Linked DNA regions of Mytilus edulis. The protein of the gene in region 1 purifies or fractionates together with the protein of each later gene. This does not show direct contact. Links are inferred from orthologs where the notes say so. Each region holds a gene or a part of one and is shown on either strand. Other genes may lie near its edges. The genes, in order: protein PALS1-like and transcriptional coactivator YAP1-A-like.

Evidence for each region.
Region 2: the proteins of protein PALS1-like (region 1) and transcriptional coactivator YAP1-A-like purify together in Homo sapiens (affinity purification with mass spectrometry; 6 studies listed by BioGRID and IntAct, counting the BioPlex papers as one, with this or other methods). This does not show direct contact. The link is inferred for Mytilus edulis from reciprocal best matches to the Homo sapiens genes PALS1 and YAP1.

The regions. Positions count from the first base shown.
Region 1 is NC_092346.1:57,552,276-57,569,347, forward strand, and holds the start of protein PALS1-like, read left to right. Parts: upstream 1-9,682; 5' UTR 9,683-9,705; coding exon 9,706-9,886; intron 9,887-17,072. Other genes in the region: leucine-rich repeat-containing protein 73-like, read right to left, coding at 513-1,055, 2,151-2,374, 2,721-2,881, 4,621-4,889. UniProt on the Homo sapiens protein: Plays a role in tight junction biogenesis and in the establishment of cell polarity in epithelial cells.
Region 2 is NC_092346.1:52,555,115-52,572,421, reverse strand, and holds the start of transcriptional coactivator YAP1-A-like, read left to right. Parts: upstream 1-10,712; 5' UTR 10,713-11,234; coding exon 11,235-11,674; intron 11,675-17,307. UniProt on the Homo sapiens protein: Transcriptional regulator with dual roles as a coactivator and corepressor. Critical downstream regulatory target in the Hippo signaling pathway, crucial for organ size control and tumor suppression by restricting proliferation and promoting apoptosis.

The DNA.
Region 1 (17,072 bases):
TTGCATGCTTTTCATGTATTTGAATTTACAGGAAGTACATGACTGAGCATGTCATTTTGAAAAAGCTCATATGAGCAATGATGTAGGTTAGTTTTGAATGGTTAGAAGAATGGAAAAACTTTTCAAAGTACAAAACTAACATAAAACTAACATGGATGATAAAAGCTCACCTGAGGTTTAAATTGCACATGTGAGCATTATGTTAGATTTTTGTGGGCACATATGAACTACTAAACTGCACATATGAGCAACCTGATTTGCATACAATTCTTACTTGCATCTCATGTGCTTCACATGTGAAACTTATGTGCTTTTGTTAGCAATTTCTGTACGGGATAGGAAGATGTGGTGTGAGTGCCAATGAGACAACTCTCCATCCAAATAACAATTTAAAAAAAAGTAAACCATTATAGGTCAATGTACAGCCTGCAACACAGAGCATACATATATTTTATATATTTTAGAAAGGTATACATTTTGGGACAGATATATTGGCCTTCGTTTAACCATGTTCAACAAAGTGAATCTAATTTAACTTCCTTTAGTTCTTCATCTGAATAGTCTTGTTCTGGTAAAGTCCCTCGACCTGATGACACACTGACCTTTTGACCTAGATTAACACCGGCAAAATTTTTAAATGTTGGTATTGCACTTATTAATGGTGGTTCTGTTATTTCGATTAGTTCATCTCCATCCCATAAAGAGTCACTACTTTTAGTTGTCTCCTCATGTTTAGGTTTACGCTTCCCTTTCTTTTTAGGAGTAGTCTTTTTAGCGGTCAATACAGGGTTTGTTTTGATTTCAATTGTTTGGACCATAGTTTCTGTTGTTGAATCAGTAGTTTCATCTAGTTCAGCATCACTTGTTTCGTAATAATGACTTGGTGATGATTTCACTGAACTTGCATTATCAAATTTTTCTGACATTTCAGATTCTGTTTCACCATCTAGTAAGTTTGACTTGATAGACTTTAATAATCTATATTTGATATTATTTTCCTCTAAATTAATCTTCTGTAGTTTTGTTGGGTAGTTCTCAATCAGATACAATAGCAACTGTAACAAGAAATTAAATGAATTGTTAAGATTCCCAGATAATGAATGTATTTGATTATTAAAAATTTCAAACACAAATAATTTGATCTATATTACAAGTCAAAGTTAGATCTGCTCACAGATGCTTGATGATAAATTTCTAATTATTTTATAGTTCCATTTAAATGAGGTAGCCTAATAAAGAGCAGTTTAATTTACTGTATATGACTTATATTGTATATTTATTTGAATCCAAGGCTGAAATAATAAGAATATTATATTTCCACTTAAAAGATTTTTACAAGGTTCATGACTTTACTAAAGAATGTGAATGATTACCTAATACAAATTTGCAAAGGGTTATGCTGCTGTCAATGTAAAAGTGTAACATTGACCTGCCAGAAAGGTTCATATATTAGTAGAATAAAAATTTAACGACAAATTAAAATGACCAAATTCCAAATTTAGCTCTGGGTAATATGTTTTGTTTTGTTTGAGTATGAAGAAGCTTCTGTAAAAGTTATTTTAACATTCCATGAAGGTTTAAAAAAATGGTTGTTGAAGTTTTTAATTCTATTTTGATGAATGAGCAAAAACAAGTCCATTGTCTGTAATAATACAGAAAAATTATGAAAAAAAATAAATGATCCATATACTTTATTGTAATCATTATTATTCATAAGGAAGATTCTGTCCAAGTTTTTCAAAATTTAGTGAAAATTTAAAGTTATTGAGGACTTGAAAATTTTAAAACCAGACTTTCTAATTTTTTGGAGAAAACAACTATGATTAGTCCATTTATCAATAAAATGTGGAAAATAGAAGAAAAATAAGACATTACTTTTTTGAATTTTGCTCTTATGATGCATGCTTGTATTTGATCAAAACAAAGCTTCTCTCCAAGTTTCATTATTTTTTCATAAGTTTTGAATACATGCTTTAACATCAGATATCAGATAGTTCAGCTATAGCTAGATTAAAAGTGTTACATGAAATGGTGCTACAAGCCTCAGCAAACCTCTCAGTGATACAAGTTCTACAAACCTCAGCAAACCTATCAGTGATACAAGTTCTACAAACCTCAGCAAACCTCTCAGTGATACAAGTTCTACAAACCTCAGCAAACCTATCAGTGATACAAGTTCCTTCCAAATCAAGAACCTGGAGCTGACTATGAGATGCTAAGCCAACCAACATAGAGGATGCTGCTAAGTCACCTATCATGTTATAATCTAAATATAACTCTTGTAAACAACTACTGGCTGCCATGGAAACACTCAGTTTGATCCACCCTTGTTCTGTTATTTTTGGATTAGAACTCATTGTAAGGTCAATTAAACCTAAAATACAAAATGGACCAGTCAAGTTGTAATTGTTTCATTGAATATATGTAATAACATAAGAAAGTATTAAAAAAAAATACATGTATTTTGCAGATTGCTATTACAGAATGAGACAGTAACCCAATAACAAAAGTAGACTAGTATATCTTGCTGATTGGTGAGAACCAAGATTCCGTGTTGAAGGCAATACTTTGACCTCTCTAATTGTTAACTTTTTATATTGTGACTTGGATGGAGAGTTTTCTCATTAGCACTAATACCACATCTTTTTATTTATAGTACAAACATGTATGTGTAAAGCCAATTTCTCTTAAAATAAGTAAGTATCATGGACAAAACATACCAGACTTTTTTCCATGAGGAGGTAAAAGGTTACAAATGGTCTCTATAGAATCATCACTAAGGTCACAATCACCAACATCCAATGAAACAATGGTTGGGTGATGAAGCAGTGTTTTGGCTAATTTCTTCATTCCTGCATCTCCAATACTGTTTCCATGAATACTAAATGGAAACATGAAAAATTGATAAGGTTAATCAACTTCCAATAAATCAATTTATTTACATGTACATTTGTATTTTATAATCCATAATTATACAGATGAGATATTTATTATGTTCCTTCCATTATCGTTTTGGTCTATTTAGTTATTTCCCCCAAAATAAGATACTATAAACTATTATGCAAGGAATTGTATGTTCATGTATATAGGTGGTCAGTATGAATATTTTGGTAAAATATTCAGCAACCAAAGAGTTTGTATATCTTCTTTTGATTAAAATATTTTAAGTATTTTAATGTGTTTGTAAAACCTGGATCAAATCACTTTTGAATGACCTGAAATCAGGTACATGCCCATTGATTTTAAATTGATTACATTACAATTACATTACAATTACAATGAATTTTAAATGTAATATATTTAATTAGTAATTAATTTTGTTACAATTAAAATTGTGAAAGGAAATGGGGAATGTGTCAAAGCGACAACAACCCGACCATAAAGCAGACAACAGCCAAAGGCCACCAATGGGTCTTCAATATAGCGAGAAACTCCCGTACCCGTAGGCGTCCTTCAGCAGGCCCCTTGAAAAATATGTATACTAGTACAGTGATAATGGACGTCATACTAAACTCCGAATTATACACAAGAAACTAAAATTAAAAATCATACAAGACTAACAAAAGCCAGAGGCTCCTGACTTGGGACAGGCGCAAAATTGCAGCGGGGTTAAACATGTTTATGAGATCTCAACCCCCCCCCCCCCTATACCTCTAGCCTATGTAGAAAAGTAAACACATAACAATATGCACATTAAAATTCAGTTCAAGAGAAGTCCGAGTCCCGATGTCAGAAGATGAAACAAAAGAAAATAAATAAAATGACAATAATACATAAATAACAACAGACTTACTACTAGCAGTTAACTGACATGCCAGCTCCAGACCTCAATTAAACTGATTGAAAGATTATGTCTTCATCATATGAATATCAGGCACAATCCCTCCCGTTAGGGGTTTAGTATCATACTATCATAAAATATATGAGAAGAACATAACCGTGTCATTCCAACAACTGTTTTTTAAATAAATGTGTTTAGTTCTGATGCAAAGACCCTATAAGTGAATCAATATTAAAGCCAAAATATGCAATCATTGATGACCTGACAACAGTATCGTAACTATATCCCTTCTTAATAAGTCTGTTTAAAGGTTTTGTAAGCTTTTGAGGTGAATACTGACATTTTTGTGCTTTGTAATTACCATAAAAGATTGGATGTGAAATACCTGAAGGTATAAGATGTCTGCATGTCAATTACATTGAATTTAAATGTAATTAATTTCATTACAATGACATTGAACTTTACTTGTAACAATATATAATTTTAGAATTTCATTGTCTTAAGAATGAATCACTGTTCAATTTCTTCTGTGCTAAGAACAGATTTAAGGACTCCTGAATATATGTTAGTATAGCATAAATTTAAGCATGTTAAGCAAGAGTGAAAGCAGACCCTACATTATTTCAGATAATTTTCTTCCCTTATTTTGCTATTTTAATTTATAATTTTCTTGGGTTTTTTTTCTATCAACAACCCCCCATTATTATAATATATTAAAGTTATATAAAAATATCAGCATGAAAACGTTAAATAATGAAAACAATATAATGTGAAGGCATATACATTAATATAGGTCGAGTAAGAAACTGTGATAGATAAATAATTAATTAATTTCTTACAATAATGCATGTAGTGATCGATTGGCTTTAATGGTTCTACATAACAAGTCGATTCGACGTTGATCTGTTATAATTCCAATACACAGGCATAGCTGCAACAAAGATTCTGAAGATTCAACCAGCTTCAAAATGTTTTTTAGCTTTGCAAATGTCAGTTTACAGTCTCGAATTGATAAAATTTTCACCTCATCATTTTGAATATCTTCACATGCATCTTGTAAATGTTCATCGTTTAAAGTTTGTTCTGTTAAGAGAATTGTATTTGACATAGTTTTTACAATCAGTCTCAGATATTACTTGTTATACGTCCACAATACGCACAATAAACATATGAAGTAATTAGGTAGTAATTGTTTTGACAGGTGCCCGTTCATCTGTGTCGGCCCATCTGTGTCACTCAGGTAAACAAAAGAGATTCGCAGAGTTGACTTTCTAACAATCTGATTGGTAGTAATCATAAAACTGGTTCGACATGACCACTGATACAGTCGAGGCGGTGGATATGAAATACACCAAGACAACACTGGTTCACTGTGAAGTCCAATTTCACATTTAAGTAAATAGTTCGTAAGATATGTTGAATGTTACCAGGTATAAGGGTTTGATCATTAAATTATTGTATAAAGGAGAACTTGACAACCTTTTTAAAAATAATTAAATAGACATTTCTTCCATTAAAAAAAATAAATACAGTCATAAAATGATAAAGAGTTTTAAGAGGTTGAACCCAAAGCTTCAGATAGTATTTGAGTTTTTATGGCAAAAAAAACACAATACAAAGTCCAATTTATTTGTCTATTTTATTGTTCAAAATCCTGTTTAACAAAAGGGGGAACCTTTGTGTTCTCAACTTTACTGCTAAGTGCACAAAATATAATTAGGAGAAAGAGCATAGACTGTCAATGGTCAACTTTGGGACTCAGAAAACTGTGTGTCGGACTCCTGGTATGGTGACATGTCTTCCTTCAGACTTACACCTTTACAGTGGCAGATCCAGAACTTTTTGTAAAAAGGGGGGACTGACCTATGGGGGCCTGCTTCAGTCATGCTTCAATGATTCCCAACATAATCAATCAAATTTTTCCTACCAAAGGGGTGGGGGGGGCATGCCCCCCTGGATCTGCCTATGCTTTATTGTGAACTATAGGTACCTTTAAAATTCTGCTCAGTCTATCAATCATGAATAAAACAGGGTTTATTTATTTTCCTATTATAAACTATTAACACCTTTGCATCCTGAAATTCATTTAATTTGCCACTGGACATAAAAATGCTATCAATCATCATATTATTATTTTGACAAGTTTCCTTGAGGTTTTTAGTGATGTGTATTTTTAACTTAAAGGGAAACTTCGCAAAAAAATCAAAAATTGATATTATGTTTATTCTGTATAAAAATGCTCAAATTCATAGGTATTAAAGTTTTATTCTGCTAGATAAGAGATCACCATCGATTTTAAATTTAGAGTATCAATTCTCTACGGTCGGCCATTTTGTCACCTTGTCCGATTTGCAGTCGCGATATGTCTAAGGACCAGAACTACAGTAACCCGATGTAGTCGTAATTGCGTGTCGATATCTCGTCAATCGTACGGTTGTTTTATCCGACTAGTTAACTTGATACGGAAAATTTTCTTTTTTTTTTTAATATTGGTATACAATATCTGTTATTTTAAGACTGATAATATAGGAATTAGTGAAAAAGTCAAAATTTCAAATCATAAATAAGTCTTCCGTGAAACTTGAATTGTTTTCGGCAATCTAATTAGTTCATAATTCTTTTATGTAATAAACTTTATTCAAATAAATTAGGATCTTCGCTCCACTGATCACCCGCATGGCTAAAGGTATTACTCCCAAAGGTATTGTAGGGGGTGTGAGGTGACACGTCCAGGTATTCAAGCGATTTCCTGTCGAGTTTGCAAATTCATGCATCGTTTCACTTCTTAGTGTATTGATAAGTGTACACGGCCGATAACTTATAACTTTCCATTTTGAACTATTAGGTGTATAATATACATCTCTATCTTGCGTGTCCGAAAGTGATATAATATATAGTCATTACTAAACATATACGCTTGTTTATGAATAACATTTCTGGTTAAAAGAAAATTATTTATAAAAATATAAATAATACCAAAAAAAACAACAGATCTGATGAAATAAAAAAAAAATCCAAGAGTAAATTTGGTAAAATGTAATATATACTGATAACTCGTTGTCAATGGTGAAGGACAGATTGGAACATACCAGAAATATATTGATTTAAAAAAAGGTACGCACTTGTCGACCATTCGTATATACGCCTGGATTATAAGTTACGGAACTATAGCGTAAATTAAAATATATACATTTATACATAGAACATAAGAAAGAATAATATATTTTGCGTAAATTGGGGTAAAAGTTTTGTAAAATGAAAAGTCCACGTATGCCAACAGTAAGTAATCATCAAATGTCGATAGATTATTGTATACCAAACGAAGAAGGAGAAGAAGAAGAGATTTAAACACAGGTCGATATATAACTTTATTTGGCTCATCGAAGTTATGGACATTTATAATTCAATTAGATTGTTCTCGAAAAAAGGAAGAAATTCGTCTTCGTCACAATTGTTCCAAAATGCATGTAATATATACGCCACTGGAAGTACACTTATACCGAGGGATGTGAATATTTTCCGGGAAAACTATAGAGTATCAAAGTTTCAAATCAATTTCGGGATTTATTTTCTCTCTAGATATTCAATGACAGCAATTTAAAGAAACTGCTTGTCCGCTTTAGTGGTATTCTTGCCAGTTGAAACAGACTTATAATTACATTAAAAAATAGGGAAGGATGACATTAAATTCGTTGTCTTTTTTTATACATCGTTGGTCAAATAGCTAAAGTATTATATATAGTTACGGTGTGAGACGAAGAGTATTTTAAGGACATATTCCCGATTATGTATAAATTTTGTTGATGTTTTTCACACTTGAAAAGCATATCTGTTCGTAATTTGTCGATTCCATTCCAATTAGATCCTTTAATTTCCTGTAAATTTTTTTAAACATTTTTCTTTTTAAATATCTGAAGTCTTCATGTGTTGTCAGATTTAAAATATTTTGATGAGCACATTAATTTCTAAATAGGTAATTAAAGATCACTTTGGATGGACTAAAATATATAATTGCAATTGTTAATGATCTGTTTGAAATATTTAAGGCTGCCGATCCTTATTTGAAATAGTACAATTTTTAGTTCATAAACTCGTGTTTAGAATGCTATTTTTATTTATAAATTCTTCAATTAAAATAATTCAGTGTTTTATCGTTACTAAAGTAATCAAAAGTCATAATTCATTAAAAAGTGATCTTATGCAAAATATAAAAATATACAACAGCTATCCAGTTATTGTGCGATCTTATTATTCCCGTTAATTAATTTTAATTTTTTTTTTTACATTCATGTGTCTGAAATTTTGTCGGAGTCCCGTTTACAATTATGTTGTTCACACCTGAATGCCAGTGAACCGTGACGCATAGATTTCACTGAATGAGGATCAAAGGATTAGAATTACATAATGCTAATCTTTTAATTACCTTGAGTTAACCTACGCATTCAACATTCTTTAGGTGTCACAAAACAATACACATTTTATTTCCACCTTACAAGCAAGTGAAAATGTTTGCTGTAATGAAGCAAAAACGTCAGAATACAAACATGTATTTTTAATACACTATTGATCATGTCAATTTCATATGTTTGTTTAAAGTATTTGTACAAAACAAATCATAAAAATGTTCTATGTATGAATTAATTTTATTATTAAAATTCGTTTTAAAATATCCACACGATCTAATTTTAAAAGTTGCATGGCTATCACTTATTTTTCGTTGGTTAATAGCTACACCAAAAGTCGTCGATGCGCTTTAAATCGCGTAATTAGATTGTTTACGAACAAGACTTAAATGAGATATTTTCACTCCCGGCATGCATCAAAGACTTAAACTACGTCACATAAGTCAGGAAGCTTCAAGAAATAAAATTAATAATTCCCAATTTTCTTCTTTATTAGATTTCATATCAAAATAAAACTTGGTGAATATGTTTTTTATGGTATTATGAACATAATAAGATGATAAGTGAAAAATCGCGAATTATCCCTTTAATATGAGAAGTAAGATACCTATATTTGGTATATGGTTTTGAAGTCATCATCCTTTGCAACATTTATATGTCTGTCAGACAGAGTTCACCTGACAATGACCCAATTTTATGGATCAGAGATTGAGACTAAAGTGATGTGATTAGGTCTGCATCTGACCTTGGCCTCATTTTCATGGTTCATTGGTAAATTTTTGTTTTTGTGTTTTGATCTATTTTTCAAGTACTATATCATGTATATATACATGCAATAGATTGACTGACCTTATTGTATGGAATGATAGTAAGGTGTACATGTCTGTCCATTAAGTATCATCTGACCTTGACTTCATTTTCAGGGTTCACTGTTTAGCGTTAAGTTTTTGTGTTTGAGACTGTTTTTCAATTACCAAAAGCAAAAGGTTAACTATATTTAGTGAATGAAATAATTGTAAGGTGTACTCGTCTGTCTGACAGGATTTAATAGACCTTGAACTCATTGCCATGAATCTATAAAAATGATAAGTGTATGTGATACTTGTAGTAAAACCTTTATCTTTAAAACTTTCAACATAAAATCAATGGTCAGTAACGCAGGTGAGACATTTCAGCATGTGCACATGTGAGAGTAAGTTAAAGCAGTATTGAACATGCTAAAATAACAGAAAGTACATCATACCATTTCTATAGAATATAGAATGGAAACCGGGAATGTGTCAGAGAGACAATAATCTGACCAAAGAGCAGAAACCAATCCATGGCCACCACTGCAAGAGATGGAGAGTTATCTCATTGGCACTCATACCACATCTCCTTAGATTTACAAGCAGGCTAATAGTAAATTCTTGGTAGATTGTAGAATAATGTAGATATCTGTAATATTGAATTGTACAATGTTATAAAAACTAAAAAGACCATTGTTTCTGTTATGTAGCTTAGTAGAAATGAGTTAATAAGATGGAATCATCATCAGATGACACAACAGAAACCAAGAGTAGCAATGATAATAGCACATTATCTGTTATAGAAGTTATAGATGAGACATTACATCTGGGTGAAAATGACAAAAGATATGGGTTCTCTATCATGGGAGGAGTGGATGAAGGGTTTTGCCCCAGGATTGAGGATATTGCTGAAGGCAAGTACATCTGTGTTGCTCAAGTATATGGACTAGAAACTTAAACTTGATTTAAAAGTATGAGATACTACTCAAAATATATTAATATATATGTTAACTTATTAAGCTATTGGTGTTAAAAATTAAATAAAAATTGTGGTATAGAACAAAATTTTTGTTTACAAAAAAAATATTTCAGGAAACATTGTTTTTCCCCTGTCCCCTCCCCACACACAAGCACCATACAGTTGAAAGGGGAAATAATCCCTCCCTCCATAACAGTCCCAATGCTGAAAAAGGGGGAGTGCAATTGTCCCTGGCTCCTACATTACTGTTGTTCAAGATAGCTACTTTAGCAGATATTTTACCACTTTTCATCGCCTCATTCCCTCATAAGTTATCACTTGCTCTTTCATAAATTTTGGATATGCCATGCACATGAAAATTTTTATTAGTAATCCGTAAAGCTGTGAAATTTTACAAAAAAAACAAAACAAATTTCAATATTAGCCATTATCATGATTATGATGTGCCAATGATAATCAATTAAAAATTCACACTAAACATTTTATTCATTTAGATAATAATTGGTCTACACTTGATTGGTGTTTCTAATTTGAAAAGCCAGCAAAATCATTCAGCTATAATATCTATACAGTATTATTAAAACAAACACATCTATGGAACTACTAGTATATACAGTTCATTGAGTCTAAGACTTTTCTATACTTAAGGTGATTTAGATTATATCTATAGTATAGACACTTGTCTGCTGTTGCAGACCATATGTTGACCTCTAAATGTATTTTGGTCTTCTGTCTATATAGGTTGCTGCCTTATTGACATTTACCCCACACTTTATGACATTTATTTTTAATAAATCACAAAGATAAGGAAATATGTAATAGGATTGCCAACGAAACAACTATCATTCAAAGACAAAAAAATGGAAAAAAGTAAATAACTATTAGTGTTATTTTGTTAAAGCATTTCAGGAAAGTATCGAAGATATTTCATTGATATGGGCCGATTTATGAACCAACAAGTTAAACTTTTGTTGATGTCATTCACATGATAAATCAGAAGGTTATGGCGTCCAAATTTTACTGGTACTGCATAAAAATGAAAGATTGTAGCGATAAAATATCAATGTTATATCATCAACGATTATTCCAAAATAGGACCTAAATCCAGTCAAACTAAGTCGTCAATATTTAAATTTGAAATGTACGATAGTGACTTATGTTTAATAAAACATTCTCATTTGCTTGGTCCACCCTTAATGATTACCAATACATATATAAGTTAAGCCAGTGCTCATTTCAAGCATGAAAACTACTGATTGAATTATTTTGAAACATTTTTATGCCCCACCTACAATAGTAGAGGGGCATTATGTTTTCTGGTCTGTGGCTCCGTTGGTCCGTCCGTCCGTCCGTCTGTGGTTCCGTTCGTCCGTCCAGGTTAAAGTTTTCATCACTTGGCGTCCGGCGGCGTCCGGCGTCCGTCGTCGTTAACTTTTACAAAAATCTTCTCCTCTGAAACTGCTGGGCCAAATTTAACCAAACATGGCCAAAATCATTATTAGGGTATCTAGTTTTAAAATTGTGTCCGGTGACCCGCCCAACCAACCAAGATGGCTGCCATGGCTAAAAATAGAACATAGGGGTAAAATGCAGTTTTTGGCTTATAACTCAAAAACCAAAGCATTTAGAGCAAATCTAACATGGGGTAAAATTGTTTATCAGGTCAAGATCTATCTGCCCTGAAATTTTGAGATGAATCGGACAACCCGTTGATAGGTTGCTGCCCCTGAATTGGTAATTTTAAGGAAATTTTGCTGTTTTTGGTTATTATCTTGAATATTATTATAGATAGAGATAAACTGTAAACAGCAAAAATGTTAAGCAAAGTAAGATCTACAAATAAGTCAACATGACCAAAATGGTCTGTTGACCCCTTTAGGAGTTATTGCCCTTTATAGTCAATTTTTAACCATTTTTCGTAAATCTTAGTTATCTTTTACAAAAATCTTCTCCTCTGAAACTACTGGACCAAATTAAACCAAACTTGGCCACAATCTTCATTCAGGTAATTAGTTTAAAAATTGTGTTCGGTGACCCTCCCAACCGACAAAGATGGCCGCCATGGCTAAAAATAGAACATAGGGTTAAAATGCAGTTTTTGGCTTATCACTCAAAAACCAAAGCATTTAGAGCAAATCTGACGTGTGGTAAAATTGTTTATCAGGTCAAGATCTATCCGCCCTGAAATTTTGAGATGAATCGGACAACCCGTTGATAGGTTGCTGCCCCTGAATTGGTAATTTTAAGGAAATTTTGCTGTTTTTGGTTATTATCTTGAATATTATTATAGATAGAGATAAACTGTAAACAGCAAAAATGTTCAGCAAAGTTAGATCTACAAATAAGTCAAATGACCAAAATGGTCTGTTGACCCCTTTAGGAGTTATTGCCCTTTATAGTCAATTTTTAACCATTTTTCGTAAATCTTAGTTATCTTTTACAAAAATCTTCTCCTCTGAAACTGCTGGGCAAAATTAAACCAAACTTGGCCACAATCATCATTCGGGTATCTTGTTTAAAAATTGTGTTCGGTGACCTGGCCAACCAACCAAGATGGCCGCCATGACTAAAAATAGAACTTAGGGGTAAAATGCAGTTTTTGGCTTATCACTCAAAAACCAAAGCATTTAGAGCAAATCTGACATGTGGTAAAATTGTTTATCAGGTCTAGATCTATCTGCAACAACAAAAGAGAGTTTTTCACGACCTCAGCTGGCTATACAACCCTTGCACAATCAACTGAATTTTGCAGAAATCATTAATAGGATAGATTGCCCTTATATGATAATTTTTTATTACCTTTTTGGTTTTTTTGGCAAAGGGGGAGCGGGGGGGGTTGCGCAACAACAAAACAACTTCACAACTTTCTCATTACTTTGCATTTCTCGTTAGATAAATTTTACAAAATTCTCCCCTGAAACAACTGTCAAATTTAAACAAACTTGGTTTAAATCACCACTAGGATATCCAGGGACCACTGTGTATGATGACCCTGCCTGCCCACATGGCTGAAATAAAACATAGGTTTCAAACGCACTTTTTAGTATTATATCTCTGAAACTAAACGACAGTACAACAGTTGCATTTATCATGCATCAATTGTAAATAAAAATATCAGGTGAGCGACACAGGGTCCTTGGACCCTCTAGTTTTTACAAAATACCAATTGACAAAATTGTTTTATCTGCTTGGAAAAATACATTTGGTAAAACATGTAAATCAATTAAACGACAAACGACTTGCATTGATGGCAACAGTTTAAGAAGTTCTATTACATGTAAATGATTAATATTTAATTCTTTATATCTACTTGTATTATGATTTATTACTGTCCGGAATGCTTATATGAAATGAATATTCCCCATGAAAGTTGTTTGTTTTGCAGACTACATATATTTGAATTATGATTGAACTGATTTTCCTCAAATATTACACCTGATCAGCTTTTTCATTACAATAGTGTGATTGACAATTATGTATTCTTTACCAACAAAATCTTTTGCTTATTACAACTCTGGGGTTGTATGTATTTATATAACATATTTAAATGGTCTTATAACTAGACAGAATTTTATGCTTTTGATCTATGTAAGATCCATCATGATATAGGAAAACAATTAAAGAAACAACTATGTATCATTTATACTAAAAAGAAAAAAAAAATATTTTGCAACTATAAATGTTTATTTTGGAAATACATGTAGATATAATTTTGTTTATTTATGTAATACAGTGTTCACACTATAAAAATTAACCAGGTTTGGGATTTTCCCTGTCAGAAAAAATAGAAATGTAAGCACCAAAATTGTAACCTTCATCCTTCCACTATATATATATTTACATATTTTTTTTCTTCACAGATGCATTATATTAAAGTCTGAATTATTTTTTGCTGCACTATTGGCCACTTTGGGGAGTTCGATCACCATCAAAAACCATCAACCACTTTCCGTATTTTCGAATAATGTCACATTATCCAAATTGAACCCATTTTCGCCCAAAAAGGCAATAGAGATGATATAGGTTTCATCGTTCATCAACATGCAGGTTTTTTAACAAAGATTTATACAATTATATATCCCTCTTTATATTATTCGTAACCTAGTAAATACAGGAACTAGACGTCTGTCAAAATATGAGGTCATTTGATATATGATGTCACAGACAAAGGCGTATTTATGTAAACGTCACTATAGGAACAACCTCATATTAACTTCACTTTGCATTCACATCAAGAAGTGAGGAAGTTAACTTGAGTTTGCCCCACATTAACCCCACCTTAGATGAGGGGTAATTTTGATCCGTGTTCGCCCCGGTTTAAGGCGTTCACACTACCTAAATTTAACCTGGATTGATTAATTCAGGTCGACCCGGTTTAAAAGGGCATAGTGTGAACGGGGTATTAGATATTTTCATCAAATAATGTATCAAGTCACTATCAACCACTGTAATTCAATGTGCACTGAACATTGCTGTTTACCCTTGTGCACTCATTGTGTTAGTGGATGCGAGTGATTAATATTAAAAAAACATGACAGTTATATAGTTCAGTGGTTCATATTATTGCTGTGATGTAACTAATATATCATTTTGATCCCTGTTACATAATTGCTTGGCTGATAAGAGTGGGACATTTGGAGACAGCTAACAGCATTATTCTGTGTGTTCTTTGATAATGTCTAGAGGATTTAATAATGGTTCATAAATTCTAATGTTTAAATTTATTCTATACTTGAATATGATATTCCTTTTAGTGCAGCAATTTTCATATTATGCATTTGTTTAGAATCAGGAACTATTTTATCACTATTGTCTTTCAAGTTTTGCTGTAGAAATCTTTACTAATATCGGCCATACAATATTCAATATAATTGGCCTTTCACTTGCTTATTATCTTAATTGATAGCGATGTTACAGGTTTTCTGCAGTTGCTATTCTTCTTGAAATAATTACTTTGGTTATTTTATTTTCTGGTTAGACAAGACATTCTGCCAATACTATTTTATATAAGAAATGTGTGATCATTTCTTCCAGATGGATAGAACATAACTAAATCTGACCTTTGAAAAGTTATTTTTGTAACAGCTACCAAGTAGATACTCTACTCTATCCATTCCATTTCATTAACTCAATGACATAAATATGTGATTTGTTTGTTGATTTTGCTTTAAAATCCATTTGAAAGATTTCAGGCCTATTCATGATGAGAACAAACAAACAAATGTCCTTGGTATTTCTTACATCAACTGAATAAGTTTTAGTTTTTGTCAATCACTTAAAATCATTTATATCACTAAGAGCTGTGGAATTTACATAGAATAATCCTTGTTGTGTAAAACAATTTCATTTCTAACACTGCTTAGTCAACTTCTTCAGGTTGCTCGTCTTTGATGTAACTTTTTGAAATATGCAGGCACATGTTAGTCAGTTTGTCAGCATGCAGAAACTAGAAATTTGGCTCTTTTGAAGCTTTTATCTAGGCTTTTGTATATATATACAAGTCTTAATTGAAAACAACTTTCTAACCTACATGTATGATTGCATTGGATATATATATATATACTTTTATTAAAATTCATGCCAAAGTTTATAGCGATAGGTATTACTCAACTGAGCTTGCTGTGTCTATGCTTGGTTGCTTGAATTTATTTACATATGATACCAAATTAATTCACAAAAAAAGAAATGTCATTGTTGCTTCAATTTATAAAGGTAACCCCTATTATAAAATAAAATGTCTTATATGTGCTGTAGATTTCTGACACACTTTGATTTTATAAGGCATATGTTTCATTTATATAAAAAAAAAAAAAAACAATAGTTCTCTTAAATTTTTTTTTACCATAGAATTTTATCTACCAACATCCATTTCTCTCTGTCAGTTTATCCGTGTCATATGTAGCTACAGTACTACAAAGTCTTAATCATTTGTGATACTATGGATTCATTAATTGCAACATTAAATTCTAATTTGTGTGGATATGGTTGAGTTCTTAGTTACTCAATAGAATTACAGATTTTCAATTGCACTTACTAGAACCATGAAACTTTATAGTACAATAAAATGGCTAATTAGTTTTGAATCATGATGATCATACAATGAAAATTTATAGTTTGAGATAATCATTTGATCAATTCAATTAGGAATGTTTATTGTTACTGTTATGGGGTGTATATTTTATTCAATAAGTTGAAAACCTCACAGTAAAGTTCCAAGTCTGGTTTTAATTTTTTCGTTTTCTGGTTTATGCCAAGACTGTAGTCTTTAGTCTGTCTGTCCCTTCTTATGGTAAAATTTGTGTGTAGGTTAAGTTAAAGTTTTGGTTTAAAGTACTTTGTAGTCACATCAATTTTAAACTTTTAAAATACACATTTTCATTATTAAAAAGTATTTGTTATTCATACCAAATTACGACTTTAACTCAGATTTCACTGAAATGGTGCGAATGGGCATGTTTCCTTTGGAGGTATATCCTTGACGTTAATATTTCATTAATCTTGAAGTCATCAAATATCAACTTATTTTATACAGTAAATTTGAGGTAAAAAAATAGCTAAATAAAATTCATTTATGAATACACTCTCAACGGTTCCTATATACTGTACAAAAATGTTTGCAACAATTTATCTACTTGATGGAAATAAAGTGAAAAAGTGAATATAGCTATAGGACCAAATTATATTGATCAGCTTTAATTTTATAACATAGTTACTTCATTCCTAAGAACAATATTTATTTCAAAAATTGTTACAAGAAATTCAAATCCATCACTTTATTGAAAATAACTTAAATGACTGTCCCACAGACAAAAAAATAACAGATATTTCTAGTGTAGGACGATGCAACACTTGCAGAAGAATGAGTAAATTCTGATGTATTGTGACTCTTTATTAGCTTTATTACGGCTTAGCTATATTTTCCGCATGAGCAGTTTGGCCTAATCCAATGGCCCATTATAGTTGGCATTACTTCTCATTGTGACTGACAGATCTATCAATCAGACGAATTGATTTATTTTCCCTTTTCTGCTCAGTATCAATCAGTTTATGATGAAAGAAATATAAGAAAAAACATGTGATTTGATATTTATCAACGATTTGTTTCTATTATCCTATTGTTG
Region 2 (17,307 bases), about 5.0 Mb from region 1:
TGTTTTCGTTTAAAAACATGTTCTTCCGAAACGTGCGTCTGGTGCAAATTTCAATCCTGATATCTATAATGAGTTGATTTTCCTCCAGTCATTTGACGAGAAGAAGTTGCTTTTGTGATCGTTTCTGTATTCAAGATTTTTGTCAAAGGCAGGGTGATTTACCCTACGATTATCCACCTAGACTCGGAGGACCGGCATCTTTTCTGTAGGGGTTTACATCCCTTAGTCGATTGCTATTGCCAGCGAGATCTATCTACCCGGATCGTCTGTCTGGGTTTACTTCCATAGCCTTTGATTAAAAAATGCAATCACAAGGCAGTGATACTATGTGACTCATAGCTGGGGCAAGGATGATGAGTGCTAGGGCATGTCCACACGCCAGTTTGCCTACACACTGCATCGCGGTGGCCCTTGCTGCTCCGAGATCCTCTACAGATGACGCCTAGGGTAATATAACATAGTTGACTGTGTGCTGTCGCGAGAAATCTTTGATAGTGTAGAGGCTTTGTACTGACAGGAACTGGAGATCTACACACTCGACTTTCTTTTCACCCACACGTGAGTTAGCCAGTGGCAATGATAGTGGTATCCCCCAAACCCACACACACACACATATACACACACACACATATACACACACACACATATACACACACACACACGAGACGCATATGGAACCCATGTAACAAAACCACCAGCACACTTTGATATTAAATTTAGGGGAAATCAAATCTAATCGATAGCTATTTCTAGATACCAGGTGACCCTGCTGGTCATAACATAATAAACTCGTGATAGATACCAGGATAAAAAAAAAAGTATATATACGCAAGGCGCGCGTTTCGTCTACAAAAGACTCATCAGTGACTTACATAACATAATAATAACAAAATGTTTTTTAGGACCACTGAGACACATATACACGTGTACTAATTAGCACAATACATAACTATAACAAATGTATTAATGAAAATCAATGATTTTAGCAATTAAATATAGAACAATTTTTACATAATTATATAATTGAGAATATAATTACAATATTTTAACTTGAAATCTAAACATTTGCTAATCTTAAATAAAAACTTATCCCTTTCATTTTTTCACCACTTGAAAATGTAACAGTAAAGCAATATTCGGGAATTTTCTTACTTTTTTATTAAATGATAACAGATAACAAATATTGAATGAAATTCGTTTCCTATTGACACAAGAAGCATAGATGACACGGGTTTTCCATATCTGCAAATTCCAAACCACCGTCTCGTTTCCATTAAATGTAAAGGGTTGTAGCATCTTAGTTTAGTATTTTGTTTAACGATCTTCAAACGAGAAGATGGTCCAGGTAGTTCAAACTACTATATACTTGTCAAAACCACGGTTGTGACTTCGAACCACGCACGTTGCAGGTGCGTTCGACTCCAATCTCAAATGACTAGGATTGCCAGATTTCCCGCCGATGGTCTGTGGTTCTCTCCTGGCTTTCCGACTTCCTCTATCAATAAAAACTGACCGCCATGAAATAGACAATATTGCTGAAAGTGGCAAAAAACATCTATACAACTTGACGATGGGAATATGGTGATTTGGAAAGATGTATGTTGACCAAACCGAAAAGAAATTGTAACAAATTGCGAAGATAAAGGTTTAAAAAGGAGAGGGGGTTATACATGCCGGCGGTTGCAAATAAAACGAAGCCCAATCGTATGAAAAGACTAAAGAGAAATATGTATATATTAATTGGAGATTTATTTCATCTAAAAGAGGATCAAACAAAACATAGATAACGTTCATCGACAGGCTAGTGAGTGAACATTTAGAAACATCGGGTAACTAGATATTGATTTTGATAAGTTCAAAAGCGCAGCGTTAGCAGTAGGTTTTTAACATTCCACTCCAACAGCGGCATGCACAAAACAAAGCTAGTATCAATGTTAAGAATGAGATTAACCGGTATTTAGTGATCGGCAGTGTTTAAGCCCTACTCCATAATTTGGTGGATCAGAAATCAACAAAACCAGTGACTACGTTTATGGTTTGAACAGACGAACTCAATTTCATTAGGAACAATTGATAAGTTCAAAAAGAAGAATGAATATGTCAATGTGAATGTGTGAGGGTATGAAGACAGTTGAATAGAAATGTAAACTGAAAGTATATTCGTGGAGAAAACCAAGGAACACAATTACGAAGCATGACGGACCCATCTTTCTTACTAACACTGAAAAATCAGAATATCTGTTGGGTGTACTAACTTGTTGTCGCAGATATTGAATCTCAACTTACTTGTAAAATTGTAATAGACCACAATAATTAACTGATTAAGTCTTTTTTTTTTTTAGTATTGGAGTCAGAAGAAGCCGTTGAAACATTCAAAGAAATCTCGTGCACCATCTACGCGTACTTTGAAAGATTCATGAATAACATCGACACATGCCAATACGATCCATCAAAGGCATACACGACTTTACATACAATCGTGTTTCTGCTATTACTTCAGTACACACACGGGGTCAACATTGCACCGGTCCTCTACCAAGTAATCAAGGTAGCTAAGTAATTCATAAAGCTTGTTGATTATGAGGTAGATGCCATCACCAAGATATACCGAGACAAGAAAGAGATAACGATGACCGATGAAGACAGGGAATGTTTTGAATCTAGCATTTTTGCATTTGCTGAAAAGTGCTGGATAAGGACAAGGTTCGCGATCACGACTACCTCACGGGGAAATATTTTGGCGCTGCACAGAACAGTTGTAACTTGCATTACAAACTAACACGGTTTTCCCCATCGTGTTCCACAACTTGAGTTGATACACCTCTTCGTGGCAGAGTTGGGGTTTGAGCCCAAATGCATACTTTAACCCGATGAGATGTACATTAGCTTTCCAAGAAGGCACAGGTCATGAAAATCAGCTTCATCGATTCAATCCTCTTTATGCGATACTTGCTGGTTACTTTTGCAAAATTACTGACGAAGGTTCAGTTTAAGACATTGACACGCTACAATTTGTTGGCGCGTACGTGAGAGTACCACTATGATTACGCATAAAGTCAGAAGAGATTGAAAGAAAATGAATAATCAACCAAACAAGAATTGTATGGTCTTAACGGTGAGGGCATTTATGGTGAAGACTACACTCATACATAAATTGTCACATCCAAGTATAAGATCATGCTTGATATTCACAACTAAAACTCTAACTGATGTGATGCTATTTAAAGACAATTTAGCATACTTCGAGACTATGTTCATGGAGGACTACAAGCAAGATTCTATGTTGTACACTACATACCACCAGTATTAGCCAACGACTCGACTCATAGCTCAAAATCAAAGGGTTCGATTTGGAACTGTTTTCCGAACACGAAAAAAAAACACATTAAAAATGAGTCATCGCACAACTTTAATATAAAAAAAAAACCATTTAAGTGCATGGTACCAGTGAAGATCATCGAAGACATGCTTATCAGCTTCGATGCTCACGAGTATGAATACATGGTTGATAAATAAAGGCAACGATAGTATAACGCTATTCAACAGTTATCAATCGATTAAGCGAGAAAAAAATCCGGTTCAAAAACCGAATGCGATTTCGAGTACCAGCAGGAAAAAAAAATATGATTATCCGATTGTGCCTGAGAATGTGGAGATTAACAAGGTGCTAAAACTAATACCGACGCTGAACAACCGCATTTTGACAAAATTCATTTATGTAGACAGAATTCATTTTTGTAGACAGAATTCATTTTTGTAGACAGAATTCATTTTTGTAGACAGAATTCATTTTTGTAAACAAAATTCATTTTGTAGACAAAATTCATTTTTGTAGACAAAATTCATTTTTGTAGACAAAATTCATTTTTGTAGACAAAAATCTACTTTTTTTCCCTATTATGGAAATTAAAACACAAAAGTTTGAAGACAAAATTCAATCTCGTGAAGAAAAATTCAAAATGGTAAAGATAAAATTCAATCTTGTGAAGCTAAATTTCTATTTTGTGAAGCAAAATTTCTTTTTTGTGAAGGTAAATTTCTTTTTTGTGAAGCTAAATTTCTACTCTGTGAAGACAAAAGTCAGTTTTGTGAAGACAAAAGTCAATTTTGTGAAGAAAAAGTCAATTTTGTGTCACAAATGACAATTTTGTGTCACAAATGACAATTTTGTGTCACAAATGACTATTTTGTGTCACAAATGATCACAAATGATACGTTTGTGACAGTAAAGTTTTTCCTCAGTAAAGTTACTGAGGAAAAATCTAAGCGAGCACAAACAACTGATTATATGGTAGAATCAACTTTCAAAAAGTAAATTAGCTGTATCAATTTAGATCAATTCATTTCATTATTATAGATAGTGAACATCCTTGTGAAATAATTGCTCAACAAAGTGGGCTATACCAACGGTGGTAAGATGAACAATGACAGAAATATGCCAAAAAATTTATTCGTGACGGTCGTGTGTAGGTCTTTGGGAAATATCTTCATCAACCAATCTACCGACTCTTGCAAATAGCTTACTGCGTTGGAAAAAAGTGTGAGAGGTGTTCTCTGGAACACTTCTAGAGAGTGCAGAAAAAAGACTATGAAGTTTTATTTGGCACAACTTTTTGGAACTTTGGATCCTCAATGCTCTTCAACTTTTTACTTGTTTGGCTTTATAAATATTTTGATATGAGCGTCACTGATGAGTCTTATGTAGACGAAACGCGCGTCTGGCGTACTTAATTATAATCCTGGTACCTTTGATAACTATTTAAAACTCTGGGTCGATGCCACTGCTGGTGGACGTATCGTCCCCGAGGGTATCAACAGCCCAGTAGTCAACACTCCGGTGTTGACATGAATATCAATAATGTAGTCATTTTTATAAATTTCCTGTTTACAAAACTTTGAATTTTTCGAAAAACTAAGGATTTTCTTATCCCAGGTATAGATTTCCTTGGCCGTATTTGGCACAACTTTTTGGAATTTTGGATCCTCAATGCTCTTCAACTTTTTGCTTGTTTGGCTTTATAAATATTTTGATATGAGCGTCACTGGTGAGTCTTATGTAGACGAAACGCGCGTCTGGCGTACTAAGTTATAATCCTGGTACCTTTGATAACTATTTAAGGAAAAGCTTGAAAACTGAGATGATGTTTGCTTCGTTTACATTGCTCGAGATTTTTTGAAGATAAACACACGTGGTACGAGCGATTGCAGGTGTAAGTGAAGACACGAGTGGGAACGCGTCGAAAAATAGACAAGCAACTGCTTTGCCTGAATTGATGATGATGAATACGGGGCAAGTCATTTGGGTCAGATGAAACCTGAAAAAAAGTAGATCAAAGACGAACAAAGGTAACCAGTACACCGACCCATGTTGACATAACCGAAATTAATGCTTCCGACACTTAAACGCAGTCCGTAGAACTCATTCAAATTTAGAATGTATTTAAAAGACGACCAGATGAATTCAGCGTCAGCCGAATGATGACCATTGTTGTAGTAAACTGCATGCAAAAGCCATAATATAAACCCATGGGTGTTTTTCAATTGCTGTCAAAACGCTAGGGCAGTCTCAAACGCGATAAAACGCTATGGTGCTTTATCATGTAACCGCTATCAAAGAGTAAGAAGTGTTTTCTCAAACGCTATCAGATGCTAGGTGAACGAGTATGTTGTGTGCATTCCTACTAGGGTAGAGGAGTTCGAGCACAATGTTTCGGCAAACACAGAAGCCTTTGTGCTGGTAATCTCTGTTAGAATTCGTCATTTGAGTTTTAGTATTCAAAAGATGTTCCATGATTATGGAATGGATAACAATCTGTTACAAAGAATCAACGAAAATACAGCTCCTAAGTATGGATTATCTTTCGTCGTGTCAAAAGGATAAAAGGCAACAGTAGTATACCGCTGTTCGAAACTCATAAATCGTTAGAAAAAAACAAATCCGGGTTACAAACTAAAACTGAGGGAAACGCATTAAATATAAAAGGAGAACAACGACACAACAATAAAATGTAACACACACAGAAACGAACTACGCATCGGACAAAATCCGATGAGAATAACAAATTTAACATCCAAAACTAAATTCATTAATTTGGGATAGAAAAGTACCGTGACACGTCTTATAGTAATGTGAATTCGCACTCAAATATAAGAGGAAACAAACGACACAACAGAAACACAACGTTAAAATGTAACACACACAGAAACGAACTATAATATAATAATGGCCATATTCCTGACTTGGTACAGGACATTTTTTAAAAGAAAAAAAATGGTGGGTTGAACCTGGTTTTGTGGCATGCCAAACCTCCCGCTTTAATGGCAATGTTAAATATAATATTAAAATGACAACATAACATTACAGGACTACAATGCAAATAAATAGGAGAACATATTGGACAAAGAAACACACGAATAATAGCTAACAAAAGGCAACAGGTTTAAATTTTAATACGCCAGAAGTGCGTTTCGTCCAGACAAAACTAACTTGTGACACCCAGATACAAAAGTTTGAAAGCCAAAACAAGTACAAAGCTAAACAGCACTGAGAACCAAAAGTTCTAAAAAGTTGTCCCCAATACGGCTAGGATTTTCTGCTTGTGATAAAAACATCCTTATTATTTAGAATAATTTATACTTTTGCAAACAGTAAATTTTATAAAATTACTATATATTAGATATACATGAAATAACTAAAGTATTAACTAATTACAGAAAAAAACCGGATACATTACACAAACCAACATAATCTAACACAAAAAAATACACACTCGAGTAAGTCAAAGCCTAAACGCAAAAAGTGACGTCAATGACTAATACTATTTCTCAAAACTAATAGAAACTCGTTTAAATCCAATCCGTTATCCGAAAGATAGACAGAGTTTCGAAATAGCTCTAGTGAAGATGGCCGATATTTAGTACTCTTCTCGACTAATAATGCAGGGGATTCAACCTTTCATTTGTCTAACGATATTGTATTACTAGTACTTGGTTTGTCATTGCGTTATTTTTAAAGTATCAGAGACATCAACGACGAGTTTCAGAGACAATTGCGACTCAACAAACACGCCATCAAGATCACCATTGATAGAACTAGTTTTAGCAAGAACTATCAAGTAGACTTCAACGAGTGCTAGGTGCCAGTACTAGGACTCGAACACAAAATACATGCATGAAAGGACAACCAACAATTGTACAGAGCCTGATGCAAGGTCAGTTCAACAAGTTACAACAAGCGACCAAAACGGTAGTACGACCAGCACACATTAGTCGCATGTCAATTTGATTGGGAAACACAAGATGTTACTCACCAAGCAACAGATATAAAAATTGGCAAAATATTGAAGAATGAAATATGAGGTATATCATAAGGAATAAGTGTAAGACAGCTGAAACAAAATATTCAAAAGGAATGTGGTTTATTAATCATATTGGCAGGTTTTCCTATCGTGTTTGGTGTGAAGACAATGTGTGTTGCGTGATGGCTTGAGGTAACAGGGGTCAGTCTGTATCTTATCCCAGGTAGACATTAGAACGATCTATACCTGCAAAATGGCAGACGATTCTACAATAGTCGGGGGTTTATTTTATGTCCCAGCAGTTGAGAACGTTCCATTTTTAGGTATGCTCATATATATATATAGGCTGTATAACTAACTTGTCAACACTGAGGTTGTCAGTCCGAACCCCGCACGTGACAGATTCCAATCTGAATTTACTAGGACTGTTAGTTTTCCTGCCAAAGGTCGTATGTTCTCTCCTGCTGAAGGTCGTAGGTTCTCTCCTGCCAATCTGGCTTCTTTCGTCAATAAAAACTGTCCGCCACGAAATAGCCAATAGTGCTGACAGTGGTGTTAACTTGAGGCCTAGTAATCAATCAAATAATCACTTTAGGCTGTATTCAGTATGGTTTTGAATGACAACGACATCAGCAAAGCAGAATTTGCAGGCGTCGTCAGATGCTTACCTTTTTACTACGATGAAAAACAAAAACTGTAACAACTTCAACTACATTAATCTCGAGAACATTAATCGCATCTGCGATGTTGTTTGGAACGTATTGCGTTAAGCCTATATTCAATCCAGTATTCTGGATTCAAAATGGTCTCAATTTGGTTTAGATATGCACATGATCTGCTCGCTACCAACCAACTTTCTAGTTAGTGTCTAGGAAAAATCATCATATATAGTATAGTTACAATGATTTTTTTTCAGATTTTCCGTCATCCTATTTCGATTTATTCACAAATGGGCCAAATAAAACGAGTGGATGATATTGTTGGGTGTCTACGTTCATCATACCGTCACATAACTGTGATGGCTTGTGCTGTTGGTTGATGTCTGTATTTTGTCATTTATGCTGGAAAATTCCCGATGAATGAGTTAATTGAAAAATCGGACAAATTCTATTGTCACGATTTATTTTATTCTATAGGAGGCTTTGTAAACAAGAGCAATACAAAACGGTACGTGTGAGACATAAAATGAATAAAACTATTGTTTGTAAACACTTAAAGTACTTCAAGTAGCACTTTCGGTTAAGTGCCCACTTTTAAAGAGTTTCCGGAATTGGTGGTTGTGAGATTATTCAAGTGAACTATCCGGCAATTCAGTGATTGAGTTTGAAAGACCTTGTAAACCTGATCTCCTGTGTTGTTTTATCAAGTCAAAGGTGGGTAATTTCCCCTACGGTTTGTTGATAGCTATAAGGGTGATTTCACTACTCTGTAAAAATGCACCAACATATAAAAAATAACTGATGTTCCAAACAAATGCTCGATTCAATAATTTTATGATTGTAAAGCAGTATCCACTAAAATTTAGTAACACCATCTTCAAGTTATTTACTTAATTTCCTTCGAAGTACAGTGTATCTTTTCGTAATAATGAACGGTTTTATATGTGTGCAATGCATACTTAAAATGTAACTCCAGTTTTACATAGACATTATAAATTTTAGACAGAGCGGGTATTTTCTTTTTCAAACTGGTCTTCAACATGATACCCTAAGGTAGTGTGCTATCATCATGGCAGGCAAATGCATGAAACTGAACTGAACTGAAAATATTGCTAGTCATTTATATGTGTGAAGTTCCAGGAACACAGCTGAATGCCGCTGGACACTTAAGGCACGTGCCTACCGTGACAATTTTTTTCACAAACATTTATTTATTAAAAAATGAAGTTGTCAAAACTTTTTAAAATTAATTAAATGTCAAGTATTACATTAGACTCTGGGTTATAGGATAGAATGTAATGTATATTATATTCCAGCTTAAATAGACACTAAAAACTAACTTTAGATAATTTCACTTTTTTTTTTAACAAATACTAATGAACCTCAACATGATCCATAACCTGACAATACATTTTATTTATTAGTTGTTATTGGTTTTCAACAAACTGTTCACTAGCTTGGTCTTCTTTCAATCGGTAGTAAAAACCTTTGCTAAAGTTGGGGGTTCGTTTGGCTGTATATAATGTATAAATATACGCAGTCACGTCCCACTGCACGTCCGGTAATATGGGACATTAAATCCGATGCCTCTTGTAGAGATAGTGGCAATACGCTAGATATGAACGTTAAGAATCCTCGTAGCAACTCTTTGTTGGGTTAGGTGGCCTGTTGAAAGGCAATATGTGTGTCCCTACCCAATTAATTAACTCTCATTTGTCCGTCTGTTACGTCCGTCTACATTTCACAATAACCCAAATTTGCTATAACTATGATACTAGATAGACGGAAGAAAACCCCCTATTAATTTAAAAAAAAAATGGCTATGATTCCCAGAGTTACGGTACTTTAACAGCCATTGTTAACATATTGCGCAGTATGCTTGAGTTTATTCCTCATAAACTTTACACTATTGCTTAGATTTGAAGCTCCCTTTCGATGTATTTTATTTTATTCCAGGATTTGCCTTTCCAAAGATACGGGACTTGAACCATCTGAATTGAAGCAAACAAACTCTATGCCTGGATTGATTGCCTAGATTTATTTCCTGAAAAGTAGTTGGGGTATTAAAGGCTTCTCATAAACTTTATATTATTGTTTGGATTGATAAAATGAAGATCCCTTTCGATTTTTTTTTCTATTTCATGGTTTTCCGACGTTCTAAAAGTTACTGGACTTGGTCCATTTGAAATTAAGTAAATTTTGCACATACAGGATCATACAGCGTTCAAACTCAAGTGTGCCTGGATTGATTTACTCAAATATAGTTGGCAATTTTCCGGCCGTTTTAAATTACTTTTGTTTGATTTTCTAGTGTTATTTCCAATTTTCTACTCGGTGTTAATGTTTAATCTTTTGAAAGAGGGTCGACTTGTTGTTACTTTTTCAGCGTTCTGCGTTTTTCTTTAAAAAACTTGAATATGACTCAGATATAACAAATTTGGATAAAGATGCTGATAAGAATAAAAAAAAAAGAATATTTCAGATTTTCTGTCAGCTATGAATAATATATGTCTAACGCCTTTCTGTGTTAAAGTTATTGTAAAAAAGTAGTAAAAGTAGTAATTTTAAAGAATGATTCACCATTTGAAGTCCCCACCCACGCAGTAAAATTCAACTGAACTACTTATCAAAACTCGGCCATTGATTGATTGACATATTCACAATAAAACAAGCCCCTTATAAGGATTAATGGGCCTATCAAGGGGAATCTAAGCATCGATTATTATTTGAAAAAGGGTTAATGTCATAATTATTTACATACAAATAAAAAAATTATATTTCATCTTTACATGTAATACTTTTATATCACTATGTCAAAAATTGTTTACAAAGTATACTATGTAGTTTGTCACCATTGACATAATTTCCTATGACGTCACAAGGTGCTAAAACATACGCAATTCACATCGGTAGTGTTGTCGTACAACTTAAGATTTAGAATGTCAATAAGGAAAAAAACTAAAAAAATATCCCTTTTTAACCATTATCAACAAACCAAGTATTGAATATTCATCATCAACTTAAGATTGATTAAAATAACCCATAGTTTATAATGCACTATTTCGTCCCGCGGATGAGGGGAACCTGTTAAACCTGGTTGTGACCAGTCATAGGGTTAATTTTCGTAAAACTTCAATGGTGTCCGACAAGAAGAAAAGTTCTCAGGAAATCTTCAAGGATATGTAACTAGTTTCGCTTACTCTAGAAATGTTTTTGTCTTAGCTGAGTAGGATAATTTTCGGTTTTTAGTGTTGTGATTTTCATAAATTTCGTCAAAATGTCCCAACAGTCGGATTTATCGCAGCGTAAAGGTAATCAGGTGATACACGTCCGGGACAACAGTGGGAACGAACTCGATGAATTATTTAATGCTGCCATGAACCCGGCCCGCTCGGGCCAAACTGGACAAGTGCCTATGAAAATGCGTAATTTCCCAGCTTCTTTTTTTACACCACCAAACTCTCAACAATCGGGTCATTCAAAACAAGGTAGTAACGATTCAACAGGTTATGGACCTAATATAATTGCACCTCCAGTGCATACCAGGGCGCATTCATCACCTGCAAGTTTGCAGCCATTATCCACTATTCCACAAAATCCTCCACAGCATCAACATGCAAGGCAACATTCATGTGACTCAATGTTAGACAACGAACCCCCTCTGCCTCAAGGTTGGGAAAAGGCAAGAACTCCAGACGGACAACTTTACTATATAAAGTGAGTAAAATTATAAAACTACATGTACATATGTATGCATTATTCATAAAAGTCATTAGTGTTCTACTATACAGTCAGTGAATATGTTTTTACTAATTTCTGTTTTTGTTTGCAAATTTAGAAATGGGTAAGTAGATTACTTTTTCAGGTGTAACCAGATTAAAAGAGCTGAGGCTCAAGAAAGGAATAAAACAGAAAGGGCAAAAGAAAATTACAGAGAATATATATTTATATGTTATTGTGTTTCTTATGCACTTACAAATTATTTGTTGTGTTTTTTTTTATATATAAATTTCACGACTTCAAATGTAAACAAACTAGTTCCTCTCTGTAAATGGGTAGCTATATAGCTAATTGTCAATATTGCCTGCAAAATTGCATTATTATTATTATGGCCAGGTCATGGAGGAGGCAGTAATTGGTGTTGATTCAACACTTTTACTGTTCTCGAGTTATGCCCCTTTATAATGTTATATGGAAGCTGGACATCATCTATGTCGGACCATGGACTTATTCTGCATTTATTTCCTCTTTGAAATGTCCAGAAAAAACTATTTTACATTTGTATTAATTCCGCAAGTGTCCAGAAACAGTATTAATTGCTAGACATGACCCAATCAGAAAGGTCAGTGATTGAAAATTAAATTAAATTAGGTCACAAAATTTTCATTATAACAGAAATAATTTTTATCAGTTCATTGGAATCTAGCTTTTTAAATTTCCAATTTGCCAAAAAAAAAAAAAAAAAATAGTCAATACTTTTCCGCTATCTATTTAAATTGTGGTTCCATAAAACTGACACACAGACTCTGCCAGTTATACATGTAGTATTATAATCAGAAGGACCTTCTTAAATTAATTACCATATAAAGCCTCCCCAGATGCAAAATGATTTTATGGCAATTTAAAGGATTCAAACAATATTCATTTACATCATGTACATTTTTATTCAAATACTTTTACAGAAAATAAAATTAGAAAATACGAAAATTGCCTGCCATTTGCTAAACAGATTATAATGTTATATTACAAATGTACATGTATGGTCAGATCGTATATTTTCATGCATGTACATATAGGTCATATATGATTTTGTACTACAGATGCTTTTTCAATAGAAATTGTGATGTCATAATGCATTCCTACATGTAATGGCACCAAAACGCATAGTACGAGGATAATCCAGAATCCTAGTAATTTGTGAAAGTAATAAGCATGATAAGCTCTGCTAACAACAAATAACAAAATAAAAAAAAATATTGAAGATCAACTTTCATATCAATGTAGTTCAAATTTCATACACAAGATCTAGACTGGCAATTTAATTCTCCTGTATCTCATCTACAATGTATATTCTTTAGAACCACAGACTACATGATATGTACAATGTACATGTACATGTAACTGCAACTAATAGATAAGTTGTATCACTGGTACCAGGCCTTAGGATTTGGATTGTGGAATTAAGAGTGCGGCTGCCTTGTCACTAATTTCATGCTTCAGCATGCAGTAAGAAAAACTGCTATTGCTCAAGATAGGGACTTCATTGGCCAAATAGTCTAAGGCTAAACAGCTTTGACTGTAGTGTAAGTGTTCCCTTCTACTGTCTAACTAGCCAGTGCCTGTCAACACTGATGTTGTGAGTTTGAATCCTACACATGGCAGGTGTGCATGACTCCATTTTTGATCAAATTGAATCTTTTTTTTTTGGTCGAATGTCAGTGATTCTGTCTAGGCTCTCAGGCTTACTCCACTAATAATGAACCGACCACCACAAAATATCCGTTAGTGCTGAAAGGGGTGTTTTTCACCATATGCATTATATCAATCAATATTCATCCAGATCATGATGTACATATACATGTATGCATGTTCACCTGAATATGAAAAAAAAAACAAAACTGCAGACAATGATACATTATACAATTGACATGAAGTTCCTTGTACATGTATATATATATATATTTTTGTACTTTTAAAAGTCTTATTATTTAGAAGTGTGGGAAAAGTGGGTTTGTTGCACTTTAAATTTTGTCTTTACCAGTAACCTACATGTACATGCATGAACAATACTAGGCAATTGCATCTTACACTTATGTTGGTTAGATATTACCCAGTGCCACCTTTCTTAAAATATACAGAACCACTATAAAATTTTAAACATATAAGTAACTTTTTCAATGAATTTTTTACAGCTTCTATTGTATAAATACAAATAGCATGGTATGATATGTACAATGTACATTGATTGAACATTTCAATTGAGAAATTAAAGTCATTCTAATCATGTCTTGATTAGTGTTTTAATATCAGTTTTAAATTTTTTTAAAGAGTTTGTGCCCATCAAATGATGTAATTGATTGTTATTGGATCTGCAGTAATCAATCGACTGATCAAAAACCAAATGGATTCATTCATGTCCTGCTGTTTTCATATACATTGACATTTGCAATTTTGTGCATAGATACAGTACAGCCTGTGACTTCCTCTTAGTTATGTCCACCCTCTTGCATGGTCAACATCCAATGGTGAACATTTATTGGGGTATTCAATCTTGAGATGTTGGCCATTTATTGGGGGTCATAAATCATGGGCAGATTTTTTATCTAATTATGTTACCTGTTAAAATCAATCAGGGTTGAAGTTTTCAGCTGGTATGTTTCATTAAAATTTACCTGTACAGGTAACTTGGGTTTCTTTTAAAATTGACATTTCACCTTTTTTTGAAATTGTAGAATAAAGTATTGTTTTACTCTGTTAATTTATTATTATTTTTTATACGACCGCAAATTTTGAAAAAATTTTCGTCGTATATTGCTATCACGTTGGCGTCAGCGTCGTCGTCGTCGTCGTCGTCGTCGTCCGGCGTCCGAATACTTTTAGTTTTCGCACTATAACTTTAGTAAAAGTGAATGGAAATCTATGAAATTTTAACACAAGGTTTATGACCACAAAAGGAAGGTTGGTATTGATTTTGGGAGTTTTGGTCCCAACATTTTAGGAATTAGGGGCCAAAAAGGGCCCAAATAAGCATTTTCTTGGTTTTCGCACTATAACTTTAGTTTAAGTTAATAGAAATCTATGAAATTTTGACACAAGGTTTATGACCACAAAAGAACGGTTGGGATTGATTTTGGGAGTTTTGGTCTCAACAGTTTAGGAATAAGGGGCCAAAAAAGGGCCCAAATAAGCATTATTCTTGGTTTTTGCACAATAACATTAGTTTAAGTAAATAGAAATCAATGAAATTTAAACACAATGTTTATGACTTAATTGATTTTGGGAGTTTAGGACCCAACAGTTTAGGAATTAGGGGCAAAAAAGGGACCCAAATAAGCATTTTTCTTGGTTTTCGCACCATAACGTTAGTATAAGTAAATACAAATCTATGAAATTTAAACACAAGGCTTATGACCATAAAAGGAAGGTTGGTATTGATTTTGGGAGTTTTGGTCCCAACAGTTTAGGAAAAAGGGGCCCAAAGGGTCCAAAATTAAACTTTGTTTGATTTCATCAAAATTGAATAATTGGGGTTCTTTGATATGCCGAATCTAACTGTATATGTAGATTCTCAACTTTTGGTCCCGTTTTCAAATTGGTCTACATTAAGGTCCAAAGGGTCCAAAATTAAACTTAGTTTGATTTTGACAAAAAATGAATCGGTTGGGTTTTTTGATATGTTGAATCTAAAAATGTACTTAGATTCTTGATTATTGAAGTTTTTTGGTCCAGTTTTCAAATTGGTCTACATTAAGGTCCAAAGGGTCCAAAATTAAATTCAAAAATTGAATCCTTGGGGTTCTTTGATATGCCAAATCTAACTGTGTATGTAGATTCTTCATTTTTGGTCCTGTTTTCAAATTTCAAATTCTACATTAAAGTCCAAAGGGTCCAAAATTAAACTAAGTTTGATTTTAACAAAAATTGAATTCTTGGGCCTCTTTGATATGCTGAATCTAAACATGTACTTAGATTTTTGATTCTGGGCCCAGTTTTCAAGTTGGTCCAAATCAGGATCTAAAATTATTATATTAAGTATTGTGCAATAGCAAGTCTTTTCAATTGCACAGTATTGTGCAATGGCAAGAAATATCTAATTGCACAATATTGTGAAATAGCAAAAAAAAAATTAATTAGAGTTATCTTTCTTTGTCCAGAATAGTAAGCAAGAAATATCCTATTGCACAATATTGCAATAGCAAGAATTTTTTTTAATTGGAGTTATCTTTCTTTGTCCAGAATCAACTTAAATCTTTGTTATATACAATATACAATGTATATACACTTTTTACTACCAACTGATAAATTTAAATAATCTTTACCATTCAGTGATAACAAGCAGTTTTTTTACATCTTAATATTTTATGATGTATTTGAATGAGTAGTTATTGTTGCAAACTCCATTAGAAATTTGAATTGATATCAGTTTTGAAAAAGGGAAACGGGGATGTGAAAAAAAAGGGGGGGGGGGGGGTTAAATTTTTCTCATTTCAGATTTCATAAATAAAAAGAAAATTTCTTCAAACATTTTTTTGAGAGGATTAATATTCAACAGCATAGTGAATTGCTCAAAGGCAAAAAAAAACCTTTTAAGTTCATTAGACCACATTCATTCTGTGTCAGAAACCTATGCTGTGTCAACTATTTAATTTTAGATTTAAAAAGTTTGAAGAAGAAATCTTTAATTGATTTGTAAAATCTTGGCATTTGTTTTGTGTAAAAAAAAACCATGTAATGTCAAAAATTTGATCACAATCCAAATTCAGAGCTGTATCATGCTTGAATGTTTTGTCCATACTTGCCCCAACTGTTCAGGGTTCGACCTCTGCGGTCGTATAAAGCTGCGCCCTGCGGAGCACCTGGTTGTCTTTAATGTTATTTAAATTTTTTATTTTTTAATTGTTTTTTGTTTTGTTTCTTATTCTTTTAATTTCTTCTTAGTAAGAATCTTGAGTCGAAATGGCAAAAAGTCAAAGCCAAAGTTATTGACTAGCATTTGAAATAAACATGATAAACAGACTTTTAATAATTGTTTTTTAAATAAAAGGTTTATATAAATGTACATGATGTACATTGTATTCAATTGTTTGTTAACATTATTAAATGAGTTATTACTATTAATAATAACTAATAATCATGCAAGTGATATTTTAAATAAAAAAAATGAAAGTAATTAAACAATTTGGTTTCTTAACAAAATAAGATGATTCAATATCAATCCTTTAACAATAGATTTTGATAACATCTAATATTATTCAGGAAAACTACAAGTACCATTATATGGTTTAGGAAAAAACTAATTTTGTTTATTTAAATTTTCTTCAAATCTCAAAACAAGAGTTGTGCACAAACAATCACCGAAAAGACTTATTTTCCAAATGTCCACCTAGTTATCATAAAATTTTGATAAATGTTCATTAAAAATGCTAATCATAATGAAAAATGTTCTTATATATATCTGAATCAAGTGAATCTTATGAAAAGAAATTATTTAAAGAAATTGTCTTGAAACTTATTAAATATGTTATCTTCAGTTTGGTTAATTTCTTTCAAAATTTGTCAGGCTCTCCAGAAAAAAATAAAGTGCACTTCTAAAGATGGTGACACTTTAATGGTCTATTAATTAAATCATT